Linked DNA regions of Caenorhabditis elegans. The protein of the gene in region 4 interacts with the protein of the main gene of each other region in a pairwise test. Each region holds a gene or a part of one and is shown on either strand. Other genes may lie near its edges. The genes, in order: ceh-10, pole-3, hlh-4 and nhr-170.

Region 1 (4,522 bases), on a different chromosome or scaffold from region 4:
TGCTAATCCCGCTCTTCCCTTTTTTTTAAATCGAAAAGCGAAAATTTTTCGGTTTTTTTTTCGAGATTCCAAAATGTCGATTTTTCGAATAATAGCATACAATTTTGGCCCTTTTTAGCTGAAGAATATTAAATTTTTGTTTTCTTTTTTCTTATTGATGAAATAAGATAAAAGGTTCAAATTCGTCGATATATTAAGATTAAAACTATTATAATTTTTCAAACTTTACATTTTCAAAAGTTTAAAACCTTCTTTTCCAAATAAAAAAATAGAATTCCAGGCGTAAATCTCCCTGCGGAACGAGTACTCATCAAGGCTCAGCCACGTGGCCCATCGGCTCTCACTTCTCTAAATTACCGTCAGATGGTGGGAAGAGCGGGAAGAACAGGACATGCTACACGAGGTACGTCTTCTTTTCCCGCAAAATCTTCAAATAAGTACTTGACAAACGGCGATTAAAAAGAAAAAAGAAAGAAGTGGTTGTTTCCTGACCGCTCATTATTATTGTTGTTATTAGCAGATTAATTTATTATTTAGGTAATAGTTATTGACATTGAAATTCACGGAAAAATAGAGTTACATGGGATTATTGTAATCATGATAAAGCTTCAATGAAGCATTATTGTTCGGAATCATTTGAGAATCCTGAAAATGTAATTGTGAAAGTGAGGAACTGACAACAAGTGAAGTATCGAAATTCAATGATGACTGATGTTGGGGAGCTTGTTGTTGAACATGCTCAATTATTCGTGGTTTGTACTCGTTTTTCACTTGACGTTGCACTGGAGGAGTTACCGGACGGTCATCATCATCACTATCCGACATATCACATTTTTCAACACTCTCCAAGTGAGCCGCAGCTTCCATACTTTTCTTGTGCATTCCTGAAAACAATGTATCATATGGGAATGAAATGGGTCAGAGCAGGTGGTTCAGGGTAATTAGTGGTGCAATATTGTGGTGTCACTGTCGTAATTTCTCCAATTTTAATACCTATCATGGTGCACCTTCAAAAAATTTAGTTTTTGTTAGGAGTTTTGCACGTTTTTTTTTCAAGTTTTACTAAGAACACAAAAATAACAATTCATTTTCTAAAAGTTTCAAGCTACCCTGAAGTTTGGTTTGTAATTTATAATTAAAACATCTTAATACCATTTTTTGTTTGTTCCCGGTTGTTATCCGGAATTATCCCAGTTGAAAGTTTTAGATAGACTAATTTTGTTCTACCAAAAGTCCAATTTCATGATCTTTTCTAATTTCATTTGTTTATCACAAAATTAAACTCTTTTTCTGACTCATTCTCCCCTCTTCCTCATAAACAAGCTGATTAACGCAACTATCACATGCAAAGTCACATCTTCACATACCTAACAACCACGGAGCAGCACTTTGTTGTGGATCCGCCGCCTCAGCTGACTTTGTAATTGTTTCCGGAAGTGGAAGAGAATGCCGTACCATTGCTCCATATAGCCCATATTCTGCCATTATGGTACTTTTTCCCCAGGTTTTCTCGGTTTTTCGCCATTTTGCACGACGGTTTTGGAACCATACCTGAAAAATATACTTGATTGAACAATTTGATAAAGCTTTTACACAATTTGTCATCTAATAGATAATTAGGTCTCAGGTTTCAGTAAGCCAATAGAAGCGAAGAAGCGTGAGAACCCTTTAGAATTTTGGGTTTCACTCAATACTATCAGCCAATTGGCCGTGTCTTGACTTGTCTTGAAGGAAATTCAAGAAATTCAATTGACACATTGCTGCCCCTATTCTTGTGGGGGAGCATGTCCTCTAACTTTCCGAGAGTCAAGAAGAGCAAAATGGAGGAAATTAGCACCAATAAAAAGATGGATGCCGACCGATAAAAGGGGCTCCGTTTTCGTAATTGGTAAGGGGCTACAATGAAAAATCAACTGACCTGAATCCGATCTTCTTGCAATTCTGTCTTTCCAGCTAGGACTTCTCTGGCATAGATGTCTGGGTAATGAGAATCTTGAAAAGCCTTCTCGAGTTCGTCGATCTGGTATTGAGTGAAAATTGTGCGATGTCTTCTCTTCTTTCTCTTGCTTGCCTTTCCACCACCACCACTGCTTCCACCACCAGAAGAATTTGATGTAGTTGCTGATGATAAGATGCTTGATGAGCTGACATGAGTCTGGGGCTCCGAAGTTATAACCTCTGATGTTGAGATTGGCATTCGATACATCAGTGGAGCAGGTGCTGAAAATTGAAAATTCGTTTGAATCTATGAACTATGAATATCCTACCATTTCCAATAGAGTCAGTACCACACAGCTGTCTGTCGAACCCTGATACTCCACAGGATCCAATGTCCATGAAATTGGGTTGATTTGAGAGAAATGTTCCCTGAGGACAATATCCGTGAGATAGATATGCATTTCCCTAAAAATTACTGATTTGTGCACTTCGGAATACGAATGATATTACCTGAATGCCTAGAATCTCATGAATTGCGAAGCTCATTCGTTGTGAATTGCTCATTTGATTGCTCATTTGCATTGATGCAGCGAGCTGCATTTCGTCCACCGCCATCACAAGAGAAAAGTGGCTGCTTATCTGGAAAAATTGAAGAAGATTACCCAAAGTGGAAAATTGGAATGAGAAGACGAGAAGGAGGAGGCTGATATAAAAATGAATTGGCCGGTGTGCAGTAGTCGAGAGCACACTAGAGAAACGGGAGGAGGCAAATGATCCAATTTCCTGACGAATCGCTGAGAAAACCACGCCCATTTTTGGTTGGTTTCGCAGATCGACGTCTACCGTACCACGAAGGAGGAGGAGCTTCTGGTTACTAATTGCTGAGAATTATGAGAAAAAGAACAGGAAGGAGTATTTGAAGTGTTTTGAGAAATTATTTAGCATTCGATTGAAGAAAAAACCCGCTTTTGAAGAAATTCACGGCTCAAAGGAGCAGGAAAATACCAGAATTTTTAATAATTTATCAGAACATCCATTTATAAATCAAATTAGCAAAATCAGCAGAAAAGTTAACTGCTACAAGTTTTCAGAACGAAATTACTAATTTCCATCCATTTTTCCAGGTGAAACCTATCTTCTCATCAAGAAATGTGATCGAGATGCCGTGCTGAAAATCATCGAGACTCCGATTGATCAAGGTGTTCTAACAAGGAAACGAGATGCTGAACGGACTAATTTAAGCAGATTTATATTAGAGGTAAATTTCAGAGAAATTAACTGAAACTGAAACTCAAAAAAAAATCGAAATGAAATTTATTTTCAAAAGGATGAGTCTGTAAAAAAAATCATTTTTTTTCCAAATTTTTCGAAGTTTCAGAAAAAATACGTTCTTTCATTTTACACATACGCAAGATCTAGCAGTTTTGCGCAAAAAATACAGTAACAGGTTTCGACACTCTTTTTTTGTGAATTGCTAAAGGGCGTGCGCCTTTAAAGAATACTGTAATTTTAAAATTTCGTTGCTGCCCAGTTTTCATAGATTCCATTTGTCACCTTTTTTGAAATATTTAAAAATTAAAATATAACAATTAAAAACACAATGCTAAAACATTGTATTTGACCTTTTTTAAACAGAGTCTAGAAAATTTGAGATTCTATAGAAATTTTAAAAATTTCAGGGAATCTGCACTGGGCTCACGACAACAAGATCTCAGATTCATGATCTCTGCAAGCTTCTCCTATTTAATTCTGAAAACCTTCAACTTTCTGACATTGCCATCGAGATGCTTCTTCGGAATTCTTTCATCTCCCAAGACGAAAACGATGATCAATTAAGTCCCACACAACTCGGAAGAGCTGCAATTGCTTCATCTCTACCACCTGAAGCATCACTTGCCATTTTTGAAGATTTGAATTCGGCGAGTCGAGCAATTGCACTGGATACTGAGCTTCATATGCTCTATTTGGTATATTTTTACAAGAATTCGAGGGCCCAAATAATTCAAAAAATATTCAAAATTTATTCAATTTTCATTTTAAAAAAGTTTAAAAATTTAGAACCTGTTATATTGAAAATTTTTTTTAACTCTTCAAAAATTCAAATTTGCAGATTTTCAAAAACTACTTTCAAAAATTACTATTAAAACTTTTTCAAATTAAAAAATTTTAGAAATTCAAAAAAAAAATTTCTGAAAACATCACCGTACATATTACAAATTCTATAAGAAAAAAACAACATTTTTGGCATGTATATATTAACGTTTTCTGATATTTTTATAATTAAATTAATCTTTAAATTCAGGTAACCCCAATCAACGTAAGTGTTTGGCAGGAATGTGATTGGCATCACCTTTTCTCAATTTTCTCGAAACTTCCATCAGATCATAAACGAATCGCAAAGTTGGTTGGAGTCAGTGAAAAATTTATTTTGGATCAACTTCAAGGACGAAGAAATGACAAATTGCTTCAAATTCATATTCGATTCTTTTCTGCGTTGGCACTTTTTGATTTGATCAGCGAAATGAGCATTTATGAGGTTAATCTTACAAAAAAAATTCCGTAAAATGTGAAAAATTCGAAAAAT
Region 2 (2,881 bases), on a different chromosome or scaffold from region 4:
GAAGAATGTCGATGTATTGACTCCATGGTTGGAAGCAGAAGATTATCCAAAGATTCTAGCCTCTGCTGACTTAGGAATCTCTTTGCACACAAGCACGTCTGGATTGGATCTTCCGATGAAAGTTGTTGATATGTTTGGAGCTAAAGTTCCAGCATTGGCTCTAAAATTCAAATGTATTGATGAGCTCGTTGAGGAGAAAACTAATGGATATCTTTTCGATGATTCTGAGCAGTTGAGTCGTCAAATTATTGAACTTTCTCGTGGATTCCCAAATAATTGCAATGAATTGATACGGCTCAAGAAGAATACACAGGAGCAAAAATTCGATTCTTGGGAAGTGATGTGGAAGAGATCAGCTACCTCTGGTGCAGACTTTCGAGTTCCAGACAATGGATTCGCCAAACTTCGTGCAATTATTCAATTCTCATTTTTCGCTATTTTATTGATCATGCCGATTCACTTATTTATGGGCACTTTTTCGGGGGCATTCAGATCGCTTTAATTTTTTTTCGGGGTTTTGTACATTCAATAAACTATTGGCCAAAATTGTTTATCAAAGTGAAATGTTAGAGACAAAAGTGGGACACGCGTTGAGAATCGGAATGAGATTTTACAGGAAGGATCGTTTTGAGCAGGAATGAGTTGGTTATGAGTGATCAGTTCATCAATGAATCTGCAATATTATAAATTATTCAGATAAACTTCAGATTTAAAGAATAGAACTAACCATCGACAGGAGTATCGTCAATAATGTCGTCATCCATTTCAGCATTGACAGAGCTGGATTCAACTGGATTTTTACGAGCGAGAGCCTTCTGCTGACTAATAACTTTCCATTTATCGTTGGCGGACTTGCACTGGAAATTTTAATTTCTTAACTCTTTCGAAACCCATAATTACATGATTGTGAATAGAAGTATTCTCAAGCTCTCGGAGTCCTTTGACAACATCATCTCCTGAGATCGTCTTGTGCTTCTGATCGCGAGCAGATTGAGCCGAAACGTCGGACAAGTTTATGAGAAACACTGCTGCAGCACGAGCGATGACGTCTCGAGCATCTTTTGATGCAGAAATATTGTCTTCTTTCATGAGCCGAGTCACAATTGCTGCTGGCATCATCATTTGAGCAATTCGATCATCGTTTTGATCCACATCGTTTGATGACATTTCTATCTTAAATTATTGCCTTGTTCAGTTTCGAGTATAAAAATGAAGCACAGATAATTAAGGGATTTAAAGCTATCCTTTTATTTTTACTTTTAGTGCGAGCACTTTTCGAGAACAAAAATATTATGAGTTCTCTTTTCTCTCAAAAACGGACAACGTAAGAAGATTTATGGGTGATGGAGGAAGATTCAAAGAAAATGAACAGTTTGAGCTAAATAAATAGAATGCGACGAAGGAAAATGTTTTTTGGGAGGAAAAGGAAGATTTAACAAGAGTGCACACTGAAGATCCTACGCCACCTAAGGTACACGTAGGATCAGGTCACAATTTAAAGATCATTGAATGTTTTTTAAGAACAGGATGGGATTTATCCAGACTTGAATAGCAGGATGGCGACCTGTCCAAGGTAGAAGTAGATAAAGTGCTTAGTCTCGTGGGTCACGTAGCTTCCAAAGTTTCTTCCGACGATGCAATGCCAGGTTGGGTTGTATTTCTTGTCGAACTCCTTCTTGATGTAAGCGGCAATATCCTTCTCGATGTTGTATCTGAAAAAAAAATGTTTTGATTTTATTTTTTAGACTTTCATCGCTTCGCTTTTTTCTTGCACAAGGATCAGATTTGTTCGATCAGCTGGTCGCTCCTGCTCGCCCCCTCCCCTAGACTCGGGCTGCCGTCCACTTTAGTTTAAATCAAGGGACCGATGAGCCGTTCCAAACAGCTAAACGACATTTCTTTACACTTTTTCTCTACTAAGCGACCAAGTGTTGTTCATGGCAATCGAATTATTCAAGCGTTTAAAATGCAATGAGAAAGCTCATAACTCACTTCTCGAGGGCCTGGGTGGCGCAGTCGATGGCGTCCTGTTGCATGTCATCGGACATGTCGGCATTCTTGATCACAGCCTTGCGGTCAACCATTTTGAACGGATTTGGCTGCAAAAAATACAAAATTAAATTAATTGAACACCGGGTACTCGGTAGTAGTTATAATAACGGTTGTGAATGCGGAATGCGGAGGTCAAAGAGATAGATAAGGATAATGGAAGAACGGCAAGGTAATTATTTGAGCGACCCAATTTATGACACGAAACAGGAGTATGTTAGTACGAATAAGGCTCTTCAGAGTATTAAAAATATAATTTGCAAAGCTCGGAGGCACTTGAGTACAGAGTATTTGCGCCCGCAACATGAAAAACTTTTGACGTGAATTGTTTAAATCTGAACAGTTTAGAAATAATGAAATAGATGAAAGAAGAAGAGTTCCCCAGTTATGTGTCATCGGGAACTTTTTTCAAAAGATATTTCATGTCAACAAACAGGCTACTTTTTCGATAAGAGTACACATCAGATTGTACGCATTTATCAGCAGCAGCATTCGTAAGACAACAGAGAAAAGATATCGAAAGTGGAGGAGAATGAAGTGAGCCAAAAGATAACAGTTTCAAAGAGTGGAGGAATGGGTGGCATTGGGAGACGAAAGAGAAGATGGCTGAGCGAAGCCGAGAGCGAGATAGGCGGGGCGCGTCGCACGCTGCACAGCCGCGTCGCACGCGACCCGGCTGTGTTGGAGTGTGCGACTCGGCTGTCGTCGGGGCAATGCGCGCGCACTCAAATGCAAACAGGCGCGTGCCCGCGTATTTCAAAATGTTTTGGGGTGTTGGTGGGAGCGAGAAGAAGGAGAAAAAAAAGAAAAAGTGAAGGGCGTTGGAAGAAAC
Region 3 (3,967 bases), on a different chromosome or scaffold from region 4:
ATTTCCAGCAAATTACCAATTCCGGCAAAATGCCAAAGAACTGTGCCTTTTTCACATTTTTTCTCGTCTTTAAAAAGATTTTTTCATAGAATTTGATTATTTTTCTAAATAAATTTTCTAAATAAATCATAGGATGCGTACAATTTTCCGATTAAAATTAAAATTCTGAAATTTCCAAAAAAAATGAGCAAAACCACAATTTGCTGAAAACTTTCTGCAAGTGCCGTTCTTCCGGCAATTTGCTGATTTGCCGGAAAAAATCGTTTGCCGCTCCCCTTTATTGAGGTACAACTAACACCTTGTAGAAAACGTATTTCAAGAGTTTTTTGTCATAAATGAACTCGCCAAATGTCCGCTGCTTCATCTTTTGGCATGTTTGAGGTGGGTTGTTGAAAAGTATTCGGAAATGAAATTTTCGCTTTCGAAAAGTCCGGTTTCTGAGTAATATTCTTTGGAAAATAGCGAAAGTTTACGAGAAACCTGAATAGTCTGAACAGCCACTGCACATATAGAAATAAAATGTATTTATTCAAAAACATTGATAAGAGGGCATTGGTACAAGTTGATTATTAACAATCAAATGTGATTGTGGTGCAGTTGGTGCAGGTGGTGGTGGAGGTGCAGTTGATGGTTGATAGAAATATGTTGGATAATCAAGTAGACTCTTCATATAAGGGAATGTTGGTTGAGGTGAGAATACTGAAGGCATTTGCATTGGAACTGGTGGTGCTAATGACGATGCGAATGTTGATCTATAGTCGACTAGAGAATGATCTGGAGCACACGTCGCAGCTATTGGAGCTGGGAGATACGTTTCGTGGCGTGGAAGAACTGGTGCAAGGGGACGGATTGGTTGAGATATGACTGTGTCTGGTTTTGAGATTTTATGGACAGCTCGAACGGGAGTTGGAACAATTGGGCCAAGAGTTGCAGAAATAACAGACTGAGGAACTGCTTCTGAACTTTGAATTAATTTAAGAAGTGTGTCAATGTAAGTGATTGCTGCATTCAGTATACGAAGTTTGCTGACACGTTTTGTGAATTGACGGAGGCTTGGAAGATGTTGTTTCAGAACAAGAAATGCCTGAAATAAGAAGTATTTGAATGAACGGACTTTTGGATATATTTTTGTACGATTTAGAATTTTAAACTATTTGAATACTATTTGTTTCAAGGGTCTCTATAATCTATTACAGAAAATCACGGCTGACGTATGTAGATAATTTGACATTTGTCAAATAGGATTATTGAAAGTATGTAAAATTCTCAAAAAAAGAGAGATCCTTCGATTTTTGAAACATCTTAACAGCCAAGATCAGTTTTTTTTTTAAAATAATCGATAATCGATAATTTGAAATAATAAATCCTCACTTACAACACCTTTGAAATGGCAATCTACAAAAAAGCTTCTTACTTTTTTTGGAAGCACATCTTGCCATTTGATGTACAAGAAACAGAGAAGTGCGGCACATTTTTTCGAAACATTTACAAAATTCCCCTTTTTCATCGTTGTGCCAAAGTTTTTTGTTGTAAATTTATATCGGCATATAAAGAGATGTTTTCACTCTCTAAAGATGCATTTATTTTCAATTGAGATGCTCAAAAAATTTCTCAAAATCTTCCTCAAAGTCTCAATTTGCCAAATGAATGTACCAGAAAGTATAAATATTTCTCGACATTCCTATATACATTCACAAAAAACTTGGGCACAACAATGAGAAAATGGGATTTTGTAAATATGCCAAAAAACTTTGCTGCTCACATCACTGATCAGAAAACTACTGTAATTTCTTCATAACTCAAAAAAAGGATCAAACCTGATTAACAGTGTGTACACGTGTCCGTTCCCTTGCATTTCTCTTGGCAACAACCATCGGCATTCCTTTGGATTTTCAGGAATTTTGAGTCTGAAACTTTCAGGTTACAAGATATAAAATCATCTGAAATTTCTGTATTCTCACCTGACGTTAGTGGGAGATCAGATAACAAATGCAAAGCAGAAAGAAATCAGTGGGTAGTCAGTCATACAAGACGGGCGGCTCCTTTTCTCGCCGTCACTTTTCCACCTGTTCTGTTGTCGACGTTAATTGAATTTTGGATGAGGTGACTACATCCCGAGAGGATTACGGTAATTATTGGTTTACGTAAGCGTTTATTATTATTTTAGGAATTATCAAGGATAAAGTAGTATTGAAAAAACAATAATTAATACTGTAAGGTTAAACTGAATTTAAAAATGAGAAAAAAGTGAGATATGAGTTAGGAAAATGAAAGGAAATGAGCAAAAGTAGGTGTGATAAATTCAATGAAAAGAAACCCGTGAAACTAGAAAATAAGGCAGAACATTTGGTACTTAACAGGGAAACTGGGAGTTTGAGAATACTTTTTTCATGATATTTAGAAGATAAGTGTGAATAGGAAAGTTACAGTAATCAAGGATACTGTAGTTCCAACCGCTGCATTTTCATTTTCTTTTTTCACCATCATCCATCCTTCTGTACCTTCTTCCATACCGTATTCATCGGCTTCTGAAAAAAATAAAATAATTTTAAACTTGATAAATTTTCAACTTCCTAGTACGATATAAGGTTCCCTCATGGCGGATATTTTAATGTAATTGTCAAAACATGATTTTAATTTTTTTTGATTATATTAATTTAAAATTTTTAAATTTAAACTCCCAAAAAATGGTGGAAACTTAGTTTTACCAGCAATCTTTTTTTTCTACAATTATAAATATTTTTATTATTTTTATTTGCACAGTGTACGGCTTAAGCCTGCATCAATTCACGAAAATTTGTTTAAAAAGTAACTTTTCCCAATGTACCAAAAAATAATCAGTTTTAAAAATGGGAACAAATTGCCAAAACTCAAAAAAAAATATTTCTGGAAATTTTGAAATTATTTTAATTTTAAAAAATTAACAAACCTTCTGTTTTCTTGGTTCCTTCATTTTCTGCCGTCCAACTATCTTCGTCTGTTTTTTTGGAAGTTTCATCCCAATACTCGTCTTCCTCGCTTAAAAAAAATTCAATTAGAAATCAAACGTTTTTTTTTGAGATGATTTTTCAGAAATATTATTTCTGGAACTGTTAAAGTTTCCTAATGGGTTAAGAAATCAATTTTAACATTAAAATTGCACACGAAAAACTTTTTTCCTCATCACATTTTACTTATTCTTAATGAATTGATAACTATGAAATTTACAAAACACGGTACTGGGAGCATTTTAATTCACATTTTAGCCAACAGCTAAAATGTAAATTTCAAATAAAATTTTATAAATTATCCCACCCATTTTTGGTGTGCCCTGATAATGGGTGTACAAAATTCCTAACATCTGTATTTTTTTCAGGCGTCGGATTAAAATCAGGGTGCTTCATAGCATGTTTCACATAGCAACTTTTGAATATGTATTATAATTATAGTTGATATCTAGAACTAGATTTAGAAAAAACTTACATTGGATGTTCTTTTACAGTTTCATCGACTGCTTTATTGAAGACATGTTTAATCGAATCAATAAGTTTTTCATCTTCTTTTCTAATTGGTTCTTTATCATCTTCCATTTCATCTTTTTCCATAATCATATCACTTCCATCATCTCCATCTACTCCTTTACTCTCTTCTACCATAGGCTTCATAAGTTTTGTAGTTTTTGTAGTTGTGATTGTAACATCTTCAGTATTATCTGTCTCATACCCTTCATCATATTCATCTTCTTTTTCAGCAACTTGTGGATATTCTTCATCTCCACCTTCATATTCAAATTGTTCATTCATTGATTGTGTCCTTTTATCATTTAATTCCTTTTCTACTTCTTTTTCTGTTTCTTGTCTCCGTCTCTCTTCATCTCTTACTCTTGCTTCATCGGTTTCTCGTTGTGCAGCCAATCGGCGGCTTTCTTCCTGCAAAGGGATTCAGAATTAAAATAATACGGTACTTCATTCAAACCTCTCTACGTCTC
Region 4 (7,138 bases):
TGTGTACATAACATTTCCCAAAATGCGACGCCCATGTTAGCTATATTCTAAAAACGTAACAATCAGGCCTAGAATTGGCCTGAAAACGGCCTATTTTGGACTGAAAAGTGAATTTTCGGAAGATTAGCATAAAAAATAGAAAGGTGCATAGCACTCCTCAAAATTTTAAACATATATTGGCTATTTTCAGGAAAAGTGAATATCAGGCCTAGAATTGGCCTGACAACGGCCCATTTCGGACTGAAAAGTGGATTTTTCGAAGATCAGCATAAAAATAGAAATGTGCATAGCACTCCTCAAAATTTTAAACCTATACTGGGTATTTTCAAGAAGTTTGACAATCAGGCCTAAACTTGGCCTGAAAACGGCCCAGTTTGGCTTAAACACTAAAATTTTCAGATCATAGTCAATATGGGTGTCAAAATTTTGGAAATTTCACGCCAAATTTGAATTTTTTAGTTTCAAGTCCACTTATGTGTGTTACAAAATTCTAAAATAACTTCACAATTTCACACAAAATATCAAACGATTTATTTTCGTTATTTTTCCACTCAAACCCTGAAAAATTCGGGCTCAGTGAACACAATATTAAACATATCAAACAACATTGCTATATCCATAGTATTTTCTCGTTTCAACTGAATACTCAGCATTTCATTGACAATTTGCATCATTTTCGTAAGCCTTGACGCATAGTTTTTCGGATTTTCCTCTTTTCTAGCAGCTTCTTCATAGTAACTATGCAAATTATTGGAAATTTCCTCTAAAAATCGTTCTCCAGCCGCTTGGGTTTGTCCTTGAAGCCGTCTTCCTGCATAATTCCAGACGATTTGACATAAAATATAGGTGACTTCAGTTTCAGAGAGATTAAGTTCCAGGTATGGCTTCACGATTATGTCAAAATATCTGATCATTTTTCCACCGAATACACTGAAAAAATTGAATTTTTCAGTAAGAAATTTGGATTCTACGTAAAATTTGGAGCATTTTGACACCAATAATGGGTCTTTTGGGCTGAAAATAAAGCTGAAAACTAAAAATTTTGAAGAGTATGACAAAATTGGTGTTTTGCATATTTTTAGAGCATTTTAAGTGATTTCAAGGTAAAAATTCGAGATCTACACAAAATTTCCGAAATTTTGACACCCATATTGACTATATTCCGAAAAATCTGTTTTCAGGCCTGAAAGTAAAGCCTGAAACGTCAATTTTTTGGAACCTTTATATTACAATCTGCATTGCAATAAAATTTCCAAAATTTTGACTCTTAAATTGACTGAATTCTGAAAAATCACTTTTCAGGCTTAGATTTTGACTTAAAACGGACTATTTTGGCCTGAAAACTCATTTTTTTGGAAACTTAATATTACAGTCAACTATTTTTTAAAAAATGCCAAAAATTTGGCACCCATGTTGACTATATTCTGAAAAATCAGTTTTCAAGCCTGAAAGTGACCCAAAGTGGCCCAAAATGGCCTACTTTGGCTTAGAAAGACGATATTTGGAAAGCAGTAGATATACATGTCAAATTTTCATAATATCTCTTAATTTACATCAATTTTGGCTTCCAGGCCTAAAATGGGCCTATTTCGGCCTGAAAACTAAAATTTTCAGAATATAGTCAATATGGGGGTCACAATTTTGCGAATTTTATGTAGATTTCAAATTTTTAACTTCAAAGTCCGGAAACTCACTTGTTAAACCGCTCAAAGCCGTGATCCGACACGTTTGAATAATCGATATGATAATTGCCAAATCTCGCGGCAAATTGGTGATTGTGAACGTGAATCTGAGAAATTTTTAATATTTTCAGACTATTTCAGGCCGTTTCAGTTACTTTTTCGTCATAGCATTTTTGACCGAACATTTGAGCAGACATTGTGTACCTCTCGAATCTCCGCCACACCGCCCACACTATTTTGAAAATTGCGATCTGGAAATTGAGAGACTTTTTTTAAGGCTAAGCTTAAATCTAAGCCCAAGCCTAAGCCTAAGCCTAAGCCTAATCAACACTACCTTTTCATGAAAAAAAAAATTTTCAGAATTTTTTTTTTAAATTTTCAGACAAACTACCAAAAAAAACTAGAAAAATGTTTTAAGCCTAAACCTAACCCCGAGTCTAGGCCTAAGCCTAAGCCTGAGTCTAGGCCTAAGCTTGAGTCTAGGCCTAGGCCTAAGCCTAATTCGAAAAAAACCTTCTCATGACTCGGTAGCCTCCGAAATTCGTCCGAATGCATAAGCCACGTGGCAGTATCCCGCATCTGTACCTCCCACCACTGGAACATTTTGTAAAATTTTACGTGCTCAAAAAATTCCGGGCTCCAGGACTGTTTCTCACGGATTTTGTGCAATGAGTGGGACATCCGCTGAAGGGGGTTCAGATGAGCAATAAGGTCTTCGTCGGGAAAATAGTGCTGCAAAAAAAAATTGAAATTCGCTGAAAAATGTAAAGATTGAGAATTTCCGAAGTCTAAACCAAAAAAATTGAATTCTTTGTGAAAATTGCAAAATTTTGACACCCATATTGAGTATATTTCTAAAACTTCAGTTTTCGGGCCGTTCTGGGCCTCATTTCAGGCTTGATCTCCGAATTTTCAAAATTTAACACACAAAAAATGCATTTTGTGAATTTTGTACAAAAGTGACATACAAATCGGTTGTTTTTAACAGTTTGTGCTTTCAGGCCGTTTTGGGCCGGCTTTTCGGACCAAAATAAGCCGTTTCAGGCCGAAATCTGCCCTGGAAACAATTTTTTTAACAATTTAGCAATATGGGTTTCGAAATAATTTAAAATAATTTAAAAATTTGTATTCTCCGCAAAATTTCCGAAATTTTGACCCCCATATTGACTATATTCCGGAAATTTATGTTTTCGGGCCGAAATAGGCCGATTTTAGGCCGAAATAAAATAGAGTCTACTCACAATTGCAAAATTTCATACAGTTCCTAAAATTTGGAAACTTAACACCGCCTAAATTTATGAGTTTTTTGAATTCGGGCCGTTTCAGGCCGAAATAGGCCGAATTTAGGCTTATACTGAAAATAATAGTAATTTTCGAAAAATAATACTATAAATTTCGGATTGTTCACAATTTCTAAAATTTTAAAACCCATTTTGAGTATATTTCTAAAACTTCAGTTTTCGGGCCGTTCTGGGCCTCATTTCAGGCTTGATCTCCGAATTTTCAAAATTTAACACACAAAAAATGCATTTTGTGAATTTTGTACAAAAGTGACATACAAATCGGTTGTTTTTAACAGTTTGTGCTTTCAGGCCGTTTTGGGCCGGCTTTTCGGACCAAAATAAGCCGTTTCAGGCCGAAATCTGCCCTGGAAACAATTTTTTTAACAATTTAGCAATATGGGTTTCGAAATAATTTAAAATAATTTAAAAATTTGTATTCTCCGCAAAATTTCCGAAATTTTGACCCCCATATTGACTATATTCCGGAAATTTATGTTTTCGGGCCGAAATAGGCCGATTTTAGGCCGAAATAAAATAGAGTCTACTCACAATTGCAAAATTTCATACAGTTCTTAAAATTTGGAAACTTAACACCGCCTAAATTTATGAGTTTTTTGAATTCGGGCCGTTTCAGGCCGAAATAGGCCGAATTTAGGCTTATACTGAAAATAATAGTAATTTTCGAAAAATAATACTATAAATTTCGGATTGTTCACAATTTCTAAAATTTTAAAACCCATTTTGAGTATATTTCTAAAACTTCAGTTTTCGGGCCGTTCTGGGCCTCATTTCAGGCTTGATCTCCGAATTTTCAAAATTTAACACACAAAAAATGCATTTTGTGAATTTTGTACAAAAGTGACATACAAATCGGTTGTTTTTAACAGTTTGTGCTTTCAGGCCGTTTTGGGCCGGCTTTTCGGACCAAAATAAGCCGTTTCAGGCCGAAATCTGTCCTGAAAACAATTTTTCAATTCAATTTAGCAATATGGGTTTCAAATTCAAAAATAAGTATTGATTAAATTTCACAAGATTATTTTTAAGCCAGTTTTAGACCGGAAAATTGACTTTTTCAGAATTTTTTCAAACTTTTTTGAAACAAATTTTTGAAAATTACCTACCGTCTCCAAAATTGCTCTACTTTCTTTAATAATTGCATTGACATCAATAAGCATTGCAGGTGCTTGAGTTTTCGGGTTAACTATGTAATATTCCACCCGATTCCGCACTTTGGCGACAATTTGCTGTGATGACGTCACTTCCATTGATGACGTGGATTGAGGGGATTGAGAACTGGTGTCTTCAGAATCGTCTTTGAAATCTGTGCGTACATCTGAAAAAAAAATTGAAAAACTGAAAAAAAAAAGTTTTAGCCCGAAATAGGCCGAAATAGGCCAAATTTTAGCCTAAAACAAAACATTGCAAACTTTAATAAGCAATCTCTTCTGAGAATTGAAATAAATCAAAGTTTTGACGCCAGTACTCGTTGTATAGTTTCTGAGTCGATTCGGGCCGAAATAAGCCGAGATAGGCCGAACTTAGATCAGTGTGAGACATGTTATGAGGTTTTTCTTTGAATGCAAAAATTTTTGTCGAGTTAAACCTTTACAACCTTATTTTTAGCTATAGTTTAAAAAATTGTGGTTGGGTTTTAAAATTTTAGAAATTGTGAACAATCCGAAATTTATAGTATTATTTTCAGTTTAAGCCTAAATTCGGCCTATTTCGGCCTGAAACGGCCCGAATTCAAAAAACTTATAAATTTAGGCGCTAAATTTTAGGAACTGTATGAAATTTTGCAATTGTGAGTAGACTCTATTTTATTTCGGCCTAAAATCGGCCAATTTCGGCCCGAAAACATAAATTTCCTGAATATAGTCAATATGGGGGTCAAAATTTCGGAAATTTTGCGGAGAATACAATTTTTTAAATTATTTTGCTTTCACAGTTTGCATTTTCAACGAAAATTTGAGAAAAAAAACCCTCACTTTCAGTAGTCATACCCAAGTCGATGCATTTTTTAAATCTGCAAAATTTGCACAGCTTCTCCTCGCCACCGGCTCCAATTTCACATTTTCCAGTTTTCTGGATACATTTGTATTTTCGGTTCAAAACTACGGTGCGCCTGGAAAAAAATTCTCCGGTACGATGCTCCGAAATTCCGCTAGAGCTTACCTGAAAAATGCAGCACACGCACGACAAGTTTCAAGCCCAAAATGCAGACCGTGACTGGTTTTTTGACAAATTTCACAGTTTACAGTGAAATATGTCATTTCTGACGAGGATGATGGAAATTCCATTCTGAAAATTTGAATTTTGGCGACAAAATATCGATTTTTGAGGAAAAAAAACTCAAAATTTCTCAATTTTTAATGTAAAAATCTATGGAAAATGTGAAAATCGTAATATATTTCATAGATGAAAAGTGAGAAATTTGATAAGAGGTGAAATAGAGACAGGGGAAAAGTAAATATTAGGGAAAAAAGCACGAGACGCAGAGTAGGAACATCAGCAGGTATTAGTCACCAGGAAACATGCATACATTATTGTCATAGGAAATATAATTTTTAGTTAAATAAACCAAAATTTTCTCGAAAAACCGGGTTCTAACACAGTTTTCAAGATTTGAAACCTAAAAAATCGAAATTCTCGCATAGAAAAACCCCCGACAGAGTACATAGGTTTTTCTATGCGAGAAAATCGAATTTTCAATTTTTAACTTATGAAAATCAAGCTGGAACATTGATTTTGGAGATTTTAGGGGGGCTTTTCTCAATTTTTGAGAATTTCAAAGCAAATCGACCAAACTAAGCTTGAATTGCATGTACACAGTTCTCTAAAGTTTAGATGTTTTGTTGAAACAACACAATTTCGGTATGATAATATTTATTCAATATTCAGAGCTTAGGCTGTTCACCATGGAATGTTTGGAACATAACGACATACTCCCAAGTAGCATCTGTGAAAAGTTCTGCACGGTGGGTCACACCATCTGCGAGTACGATTGCGGGCTACGCCGAATCCCTGGACTTCGTCTTGACAAAGAACTCCGAATGGGAAGAGAACAGCGATCTGAAATTTCAAAGCTTAATTTTTGACATTCCTAGAAGTTTTTGTATATTCTTAAACTGAAAAATTCGATTTTATCCGTCTAAATATGATTGAAAACACTTGAAAAAAATTTTTTGCCACAGCGGGGACTCGAACCCCGGTCTTGTGATTGTCAGTCGCCGAAAATCACACTGAGCCATTTGGACAAAATTTTCAAAAATTTGCGGGAAATATGTAAATGTGAGTGTAACACTAATTTTGATTCTAATTTGAAAATTTCAAATTTGAAAATTTTTTGTTGAGTAAGTAAATTTTTGGTATTTTCCAGATGTTTTTTCTCTGAAACCTCAAAATTTGAAGTTTATACTTTTCAAACATCCTGAAAACATAATAACAAAAAATTTTACCAAAGCGGGGACCCGAACCCCGGTCTTGTGATTGGTAGTCAGCAAAAATCCCACTGAGCCATTCTGGCATAAATTTTAAAATTTCAAGATATTGTCCGATTTTTTTTAAAATTTAGACTAATTCAAAAGTAATTTAGTTTTCAACTCTAGAAACACTTACCAAAACGAGAATTTTCATATTTTCGAGCGCCACACTAAAATATGAGGTTCTTAATGTTTTCCTGCTAGTTTTTATAGATTTTAATCGTATTCTCAAGGAATTTCCATTATTTCGGTGTTTGATTCGAGGCCGATGGGAATTTCAAAGAAAAATTTACATTTCTCAGTGGGCGTTTGGGAAAGTGACTCACAAATGGTTTTGATTTTTTGAACTGGCAATTGATTTTTTCGAAGTTTTCCAAGAAGATGATGCAAAAAAAACTTTAAAGTTCAGATTCAGACGCATCAAAAATACCCAAAATCCGTTCAAGCAACACTAGAAAAAAATATCGACCAGCGTGCGGACTCGAACCCCGGTCTCGTGATTGGAAGTTGGCGAAAATCCCACTGCGCCAGCCGGACAAAATTTTCAAAAATGTGCGAATTTAAAAGGGTTTCAACTCAGCTTTCAAGTTTTAAGACCCAAAAAATCGAAAATCTCGCCTATAAAAACCTAAATACCCCCAACGGGGACCCGAACCTGCGCAGTCGGGAAGAGGCTTGACTATGGGGAAAT

Evidence for each region.
Region 1: the proteins of nhr-170 (region 4) and ceh-10 interact in a two-hybrid assay, tested with the Caenorhabditis elegans proteins (one large-scale study listed by BioGRID).
Region 2: the proteins of nhr-170 (region 4) and pole-3 interact in a two-hybrid assay, tested with the Caenorhabditis elegans proteins (one large-scale study listed by BioGRID).
Region 3: the proteins of nhr-170 (region 4) and hlh-4 interact in a two-hybrid assay, tested with the Caenorhabditis elegans proteins (one large-scale study listed by BioGRID).

What each region holds. Positions count from the first base shown.
Region 1 is NC_003281.10:5,797,104-5,801,625, reverse strand, and holds ceh-10 (Homeobox protein ceh-10), read right to left. Parts: upstream 2,580-4,522; 5' UTR 2,554-2,579; coding exon 2,449-2,553; intron 2,404-2,448; coding exon 2,268-2,403; intron 2,221-2,267; coding exon 1,919-2,220; intron 1,552-1,918; coding exon 1,368-1,551; intron 885-1,367; coding exon 577-884; 3' UTR 511-576; downstream 1-510. Other genes in the region: polq-1 (DNA polymerase theta), read left to right, coding at 281-403, 3,063-3,196, 3,618-3,905, 4,241-4,474. UniProt on the Caenorhabditis elegans protein: Transcription factor. Binds to a sequence motif, 5'-TTATTGGCTTCGTTAA-3', which may be involved in AIY interneuron function, in the regulatory elements of target genes; binding is more efficient, in vitro, together with LIM/homeobox protein ttx-3.
Region 2 is NC_003281.10:6,461,681-6,464,561, forward strand, and holds pole-3 (DNA polymerase epsilon subunit 3), read right to left. Parts: upstream 1,177-2,881; 5' UTR 1,168-1,176; coding exon 901-1,167; intron 858-900; coding exon 728-857; intron 674-727; coding exon 657-673; 3' UTR 536-656; downstream 1-535. Other genes in the region: algn-1 (Chitobiosyldiphosphodolichol beta-mannosyltransferase), read left to right, coding at 1-502; dlc-1 (Dynein light chain 1, cytoplasmic), read right to left, coding at 1,535-1,712, 1,993-2,084.
Region 3 is NC_003281.10:9,736,960-9,740,926, forward strand, and holds hlh-4 (Helix-loop-helix protein 4), read right to left. Parts: upstream 2,096-3,967; 5' UTR 1,962-2,095; intron 1,908-1,961; 5' UTR 1,881-1,907; coding exon 1,818-1,880; intron 1,720-1,817; exon of another isoform or gene 1,570-1,719; intron 1,488-1,569; exon of another isoform or gene 1,338-1,487; intron 1,085-1,337; coding exon 530-1,084; 3' UTR 518-529; downstream 1-517. Other genes in the region: T05G5.1 (Prothymosin alpha-like), read right to left, coding at 2,398-2,528, 2,930-3,018, 3,463-3,908, 3,955-3,967. UniProt on the Caenorhabditis elegans protein: Acts as a transcriptional regulator. May mediate transcriptional activation by binding to the E-box motif 5'-CANNTG-3'.
Region 4 is NC_003283.11:18,795,555-18,802,692, forward strand, and holds nhr-170 (Nuclear Hormone Receptor family), read right to left. Parts: upstream 5,273-7,138; 5' UTR 5,266-5,272; coding exon 5,141-5,265; intron 5,091-5,140; coding exon 4,954-5,090; intron 4,299-4,953; coding exon 4,087-4,298; intron 2,415-4,086; coding exon 2,196-2,414; intron 1,934-2,195; coding exon 1,838-1,933; intron 1,790-1,837; coding exon 1,695-1,789; intron 931-1,694; coding exon 552-930; 3' UTR 507-551; downstream 1-506. Other genes in the region: C54E10.11 (FIP (Fungus-Induced Protein) Related), read right to left, coding at 5,879-6,037, 6,584-6,601.